2 linked regions of the Rattus norvegicus genome follow. The protein of the gene in region 2 purifies or fractionates together with the protein of the main gene of each other region. This does not show direct contact. Links are inferred from orthologs where the notes say so. Each region holds a gene or a part of one and is shown on either strand. Other genes may lie near its edges. The genes, in order: Axin1 and Map3k1.

Region 1 (3,815 bases), on a different chromosome or scaffold from region 2:
GACACTTGGAAGGGACCAGACCCCCCCCCTCTGCTGAACCAAGCTGGTGGCTGGAGACAGGCAAAGAGGCCTGAGATATTCAGCCGCCAGATTCACACAGTGGCAGGCAAGAGACAGCTATGTTGAAGGCACTCAGTGACATGTACAATATACAGAGGCCCCCACAGGATCCCCTGCTCCTGGACCTGAGCCCAATGAGGTGCAGTGGATAGGTCCCAGAGAGAGAAGAGGACACTAGGATACAAGCCCAGGGCAAAGTATCCCTAGGTCAGACTGTATTTAGAAGCAAGAGCTGCTGAGGGTCATGAGATGGCTCCTGGTATTGCTTCAGGGGTAGTGTGGGGGTAGGTGCGGCTTTCCCTTTGAACAGCAAAACAGAGAAACCCATGGAACCACTCAGTAGGATGACCCTCCCACCCCCACTTTCCCAGAGCCAGAGGGATAGAAATTAGCAGACATCTGAGGCCCCCAGCCTCATCCCCTGGAAGAGCTCGTGACAATCTTGTGTTGTTCCCTACACCAAGCTCCTGAGGACAAGGCTGCCCACCTGGCGGATGCCACTGCACAGTAGTGATGGTAGCTCTGGGTGTGCTGCCCAGGGCTCAGTCCACCTTTTCCACCTTGCCGATGATCTTTTCTTCAAAGACAGGCAGGATGGCCTCATCTTCCCGTACTTCCTCAAATACCACACCACAGTCAAACTCGTCACTCACTTTCTTAAAGTAGTATCTAGGGACAGAAAAGTGTGCAGACAGTGAGAAACCTGCTCCAAGAGAGGGATGCCTGCTTGTCCTTGACCCCCTAGAAGTCTAGCCACCCTAGAGTACAGGCTTCCCCCAGACATCAAGCGGGGCTCCTGGTTGGTGCCTGCTGGGCGGTGGCAACACTTGGGGTAGAGCTGGGACCACGGATGGGCTGAGTTACAGCATGTTGGGAATTGGCAAAAACAAAACAAAACGAAAAATCTGGGAGCCCCAGTCTTGACATGCTTCTTATGCAAAGAGAGCAGAGGTCTCGGGCCCCGCTTTGCCATCTACATGGGCTGACTCCAGCAGGCTTGACAGGTTCTCATGTCACTCAGGGAGCAGTAATCTGTCTGTCTGTTGGAGTTTCCAAGTTGGCTGACGTGGAGGGACAGACAGGTCTAAGGCTAGAACAAAGGGCCAGTCAGGCTCTGAGGCAGGGCCTGATGCCACCACACAACAGTGTGCAGCATCCATGGCTGAGAGGAGTAGGGTGAAGGGGAAGATAAGACCAATGGAACAGAAAGCTTTTCCTTTAGACACTAAACCAATAGCATAGCGGGCAAATATGCTCAATGGCTTCAGCTTCTCTCACCTGTAGCTCCCCTTCTTGGTTAGCAGCTCCTTGAACTGGCCCAGGGTGACAGCACGGCCCCTCACCAGGGTCCGGTAGGGTATTGGTTCACCACAGAAATAGTAGGCCACAACGATACTGTCACATGGTGGTGCACTCCCGCCACCTGCCTTTCTTTGTGATTTTGTCCTGGGGCAGAAATAAAGTGGTAAGTAGTGGGCTCAGGGTGATATCACAGAGAGTACCTCAAAGGTACCATCTATCAGCAGAAGACAAGATATCCCAGGGTTAGCACCTCATTCACCAATGTGGTATTCACAGGCCCTGCCACCCACCTACCCAAATCTGGGTGCCAGTCCTGTGTGAACCACTCACTGGGAAATGAAGTACAGGTCTAGCTTTAAGAACACACGCCCCACCAGATCATGACCAGGCCAGGCACACAAAGTCCCATCTCCAAGGATATAAAGGGAGTTGGTTCCTAGGCCCTGTCAAGTTCCAACCTCTCCAAACTTCCCTAAGTCTCAAGGATAGACCATAGACCAATCAGTGCTGTACAGATCTGGAAGGGAAGTGTTCCCAGGATGGCCAGGATCTCCAAAGTAGACTAGAGACCTGAGCTATTTCCTGCTCAGGTCCTCAAAGTGCTGTGAGGCTGTTCCAAGTCTGGATGACAGGCAATGCTCCTGTGCTCCTGTATCTTTCAATCACCCAGAAGCTTCCACAGCTGGCTTCACCCATGGCCACAAGTGGGCCATTTAGGCTGTGAGACTGTCTGGGTTCTTGGACTTTTCCTGCAATGGGCTTCAGGAGGGCCACCTGCAGAGGCCCCAGTACAGGCTCTGATGACACCCTCTCTTATGCAATGACTGGGATGGAACGTGTACTGGGTCAGCAGCAGGGCTCATCCTCCTAATTGAATGAAAGTACAGGAAGGAAGTCAGGCATGTCCCTAACCTACATGTGACCATGGGAGAGGAGGCACACAGCCTAAGTCCTGGCTGCAGTCACACTGTCCAGATCCTACTTTAAAGCTGGCTCAAAGTCCCAGGATCCAGATAGTAGACCTGCCAATCCCTGAACCTCGCTGAGAAGCTCAGGAGAGCAAAGACAAAATGAAAGGCAGGCTGTGGTACCTGTAGGACCTAGTGATCATGTTACCACCACGAAGAGGCATGATCTCCTTTATTGGGAGACAAGAGGGAGAAGCCCCAGCACGTCTTTCTCCAGCCCTGCTGTTTTCTGGCTCAGTGACAAAACCTATCAAAATAGGTGGTCCACTTTGGAATTTGGTCTGGCCTGGGCTGGGCTGGGCAAAACCAGGAGGACCCACAGGGCGCACATACTCTGTCTCGGAGAGTTCCAAGTCCGACACGGCTGGTACCACACTCAGCACCGGTGCACATGCTGGCCTGACACAGGTGCGTCCCCGCTGCATGACTGCCTGCACATACCTAGGGAACAACCCGCATCAAAGAGGATGGGGTTCAGCCAGTGTTGTGGACAATGGGCATAGAAAGGGTGAGAAGCAGGACCTCGCCGTCAAAAACTCCTACTCACATATTATCAGATGCCCTGCCATAGGTATCTAGACACAGGGTCAATGTCAGTCTGTTCTTTGGAATACACTCTGGAGAACTGCTGATCTAGATGCTATAAGCTGTTACTTCACCCCTTGTTCAGATGTCTTAAAGAGGATCTGCCAGGACAGAAATGTGGCTCTTTCTTACAGTTTCTAGCACAAGCTTCCTGAAGATGATGTGGATATCTGATATGGTCGGTAGCAGTGGTTCTGCTGTACAATATCTTGGGGAATTCTTATTGCTGTGACTAAGGCATGTCCCAGAGTCTGAGCAGAGCCTTTCTAAGTGAACCCTCTACCTTGGAGTGATGCCACTATGGGTTCCTAATAGTGACTTTACTTTGATCTATCTTAATAGGGCCTGCCAACGCCTAGGACTTTCACTTCATAAGTCTACACTTGCTTACACAGTTCCAGACCGACAGATTTAACATGATCAGTTTTATCACAAATGAAGATTTTGGAGGCACCAGCTAAGATCTGGGGTGTGTGTGTGTGTGTGTGTGTGTACACGTGTGTGCGCGTACATGTGCACACATGAGTAATGGTGATAGTTGTGCTGGTGTGTGTGTGTGTGTGTGTACACGTGTGTGCGCGTACATGTGCACACATGAGTAATGGTGATAGTTGTGCTGGTGTGTGTGTGTGTGTGTGTGTACACGTGTGTGCGCGTACATGTGCACACATGAGTAATGGTGATAGTTGTGCTGTGTGTGTGTGTGTGTGTGTGTGTGTGTGTGTGTGTGTACAAGCGCACACATGAGTAATGGTGATAGTTGTGGTGGTGTCATACCCCAAAACATAAACCAGAAGGATTTAGCTGATGCTACTGACAAGAGAAAACCAGTCACTGTCTCATGTGGTGCTTGCCAGGTGCTGGTAACCAGATGAACAAATGTCACCTCTGCAGTGTCAC
Region 2 (3,815 bases):
ACCCACATTGAAAACCCAGGCATGGTGGTATGTCCCTGTGGCTTCAGCATGGGCCAGCCATCTCAGCCCAGCTTCTGAGCTCTAGGGTCAGAGAGAGATCCTGTCTCAGAAAGGGTGGAGAGTGACCGAGGCGCTCGCCGTCCCAGACATCTGCACGCACACAGTCACACCACTGAGCACACACAAGCATGAACTAGAGACGCACTCTTAAACCACACAAGGACTGGCATATCTGGAGCCATTGTTACATAGTATATAGAAGTGAGCCAGTCTATGTTCAAGAGAATGAGGTTTAACTCTGTGTCTCAGTGCTGTTTCCTCTGAAGTTAAGTTTTCAAACTATACCTTAATTGATTTAGATCTGTTTGAGACAGATCCTCACCTACGGCTCAGGCTGGGCTTGGACCAAGCACCCTTCTGCCTCAGCCTTTGAGTGCACTGCACTACCCAAAGGCACATGCCCTGCTTAGTAACTTTATTTCACACTTTTGGAAGCATTTCTTACAAAACCATAATCTATACAATTAGTGATGACCATCAAGAGAAATATGGAATTTAAACGGACCAAGAAAAAAAGATTCTTATACACCAAGCCATAAAACCACTCCTAAGAAAAGTTGCTGAGCTGGGGAATGCAGCTCGGTGGCAGGGGGCTTGCCTAGCATATACAAGGTCAGTTGGCAGGGGGCTTGCCTAGCATATACAAGGTCAGTGGCAGGGGGCTTGCCTAGCATGTACAAGGTCAGTGGCAGGGGGCTTGCCTAGCATGTACAAGGTCAGTGGCAGGGGGCTTGCCTAGCATGTACAAGGTCAGTGGCAGGGGGCTTGCCTAGCATGTACAAGGTCTGGGCTCGATTCCAGGCACAGCAAAACAAAACAGCAAGGCGGAAAAATTTTAATATTTACTAGATTTAAAATATAGACAATACTTTTTGTGTATGCCTGTATATTAGGAGTGGTTTGTTTTTAGATACCCAAGGGTATTTATAATGGGGCACTCAGCACGCTGTGTGCCAGCAGAACGTACCCGCCATCCACTCGATGAAGAGGTTGTAGTTGCTCTTCTCGCACGTGGCCCCCAGCATCCTGATGATGTTCGGATGGTTGAGGTGGCTCATCATCCTGATCTCTTCCCTCAAGGCTTCCACCACTTCCTCCTGCTCAGAAGATGTGTTTCTGACGTAGGTCACCTGTTTTAATAAGCACATTAACAGGATCTTGGGTTTTACTGTTCTAAGTTTTCAAACCAATCTGACGTAAAATGGCAAATCCAAACTACCTCACACACTGCAGCAAATGGCACTTACTCCAGGGATGCAGCATGCTTTATAAAAGCAGCAACTCAACAGGGAAGCACAAGCCAGACCCCTCTACACAAGAAGAATACAGCTCAGTGAGCAGATCAGAAAATGGCGTAAGGGTGCTGCGGCCAAGACTCTTACTGTACAGAACAGTAAATACGGGAAAAGCCAATGACAGGCTAACAATGACTTTAAAGAGGGAAGTCATCATTTCTGCATCCTAGCGAGTGCGTGAACTCATTATAGAGAGTGGGGGTCTTTAGGCGGCACGCGAGAAGGGCAGGAATGACCTACCAGCTCTCTGACCATTTTCATTCAGGACCTTACAGTGACCAGCTTCAACTCTTAAACATTTATTTATTTGTTACATAGAGGTACACTGTGGCTGTCTTCAGATACCAGAAGAGGGCATCAGATTTCATTACAGATGGTTGTGAGCCACCATGCAGTTGTTGGGAATTGAACTCAGGTCCTCTGGAAGAGCAGTCAGTGCTCTAACCACTGAGCCATCTCTCCAGCCCCCAGCTTCAACTCTTAAAAAGAGTTCATGTTTGTGCTGCTTCTGAAGCTTTTCCAAACTATCAAGTGTGGCGGCAAAATCTTGTAATCCTACCACTAGGAAAGCAGAGGCAAGAAGGTCCCAAGTTCGAGGCCAGCTGGGCTACACGATGCTTCCAAAACCAAACCAAACACCTCTACCACCAAAGCTCTAAGATGCCGGCATTTCGTCCTTTGAGTTCACAGCTGCATATATGTCATTTCATAATGTGAACACTCTCACCCTGTGCTCCCAATACTGACCTGTTTCACAGCCATTAAAGTTCCAGTGCCCACATCCTGTGCTTGGTAACAAGAAGAAAATGCTCCGAGGCCTATCTGCTGCCCTTTCAGCCACTCGGTGTCTTCTCTGTAGGGCTGCTTCGCTTTGGTATGCCCTGGTAGGGTTTCTGGTGTCTGTGAATTGAAGAATCGTTTTGCTGTTAGAAGAGCAAGATGCTATATAATTAGACCGAGAAATACTATTCTAGTTCCCACTCCACCCATGAATGGACACTGTGTAAGTGACAATCATTTCAGAACCGGCCAGAAGTCTCGAAGCGGCTAAGTACCGCTACTGCAACGACTCAGAGTTGTTGTCACGTGATTGCGCAGAAGGACGCTCACATCCGCCCCCCCTCGGAAGCACCGTCCCCGGCAGACTTCAGCACGGGCTCCCAGGACCGTGAAGACTACTCACATCCTGCTGGATGATGATGATATCCTCTCCATTTTCCACCTGCAGCTGAGGGACTATGGGGAGGGCGTCCTGAGAAGCCGACATTGCCATGGCAATCGCGAGCGCCTCCTCTTCCTCAGCCTCCATCTTCTCTTTGCACTTTTGATTGTGATTGACGTCATCTTTGTAGGTGTCATCACTTTCGGCCTTCTCAGGAGAGAGGACGGCGACTTCGGACTTGAAAGTGACTGTTGTGTCACTTGAAGGCATAGATGCTTCAAGAAGGTCCTCGATACTGGAGTTGAGCTCGGGGTTGACATCTAACCTGCACTTGTCCTCTGCTGGGGTGAATGCCGTCTCCTCACTGGGTATGACGGCGCCGCCACTGTTGCTGCCACTGCCAAAGCTGTCATCACACTGGGAAGCACTGTTCAGGTCGAGTGTCATGCTGTTCTTTGAGGCATCCCCTAGTTTGCTTGTGCTACCCGGAACGGGTCGGGATGGCTTTGGCCTGTGTATGTTACTGGAGGGTGGGGGTCTCGACTGAGTAAAGACTGGGGAGAGTTTTTCTGAGTCTCGGTTCTCAGAGCAGGTCCTCTGGAACTGTAGGGAAAACTTGCGCTGTGTTTGGGGAGACGCAGAGGGTATTTTACAGGGAACAAACGCCTGAGGTCTATGCTTAGAAGCATCTGTTACAGAGCCAGCTGGGACAGACGGGGCAGATGAACATGGGGCTGATATTGCTGGAAACATTAACTGAGGAGGAGACAAAGGAGAGGAGTTCAAACACTGACTGTGGGGTCTGCCTTTTGTTTGAACTGTTGGCTTTGGTTGTTCTGTTGTTGCTGAACTAGGAAGTCCTACAGAAACGCCAGCCAGTCTGTCAGAAATGTCCTCTGAGCTGGCACTCAGTCTCGTAGCTTTTAATCCTTTTCCAGTTTTCTCTACATGGGCTGTGTGCTCAAGGGAGCTGCTCTCTGGATAGCGGGGAGGGGCCAATGCCTGCGAGCTGTCCTGCTGGCCATCCAAAGTGTCTTCCGAACCCAGCTGGATGACCTCGGCAATTTCTACCTCGTCTGCAATGGCCATCAGACGCCGGCGCATCCTGGCGAAGTGGGAGGATCCAGAAGCACTTAGCATGGTTACCAGCTTGGAAAACAGGGCGGGCACTGTGGTCACCATTCGTGCTGAGCTCAGATAAATCCTCCGCGAGAGTTTGCCGACCATAGAGTGGGAATTGTCAATGGATTGCAAGGCAAAGGCTAAGAGGGACAGCAGCTTCTTATACCTGAAAGGAG

Evidence for each region.
Region 1: the proteins of Map3k1 (region 2) and Axin1 purify together in Homo sapiens (affinity purification with western blotting; 5 studies listed by BioGRID and IntAct, with this or other methods). This does not show direct contact. The link is inferred for Rattus norvegicus from reciprocal best matches to the Homo sapiens genes MAP3K1 and AXIN1.

Annotation. Positions count from the first base shown.
Region 1 is NC_086028.1:15,716,145-15,719,959, reverse strand, and holds part of Axin1 (axin-1), read right to left. Parts: intron 2,772-3,815; coding exon of another isoform or gene 2,664-2,771; intron 1,507-2,663; coding exon 1,339-1,506; intron 730-1,338; coding exon 603-729; 3' UTR 1-602. UniProt on the Homo sapiens protein: Component of the beta-catenin destruction complex required for regulating CTNNB1 levels through phosphorylation and ubiquitination, and modulating Wnt-signaling.
Region 2 is NC_086020.1:45,088,882-45,092,696, forward strand, and holds part of Map3k1 (mitogen-activated protein kinase kinase kinase 1), read right to left. Parts: intron 3,806-3,815; coding exon 2,539-3,805; intron 2,256-2,538; coding exon 2,103-2,255; intron 1,191-2,102; coding exon 1,028-1,190; intron 1-1,027. UniProt on the Homo sapiens protein: Component of a protein kinase signal transduction cascade. Activates the ERK and JNK kinase pathways by phosphorylation of MAP2K1 and MAP2K4. May phosphorylate the MAPK8/JNK1 kinase.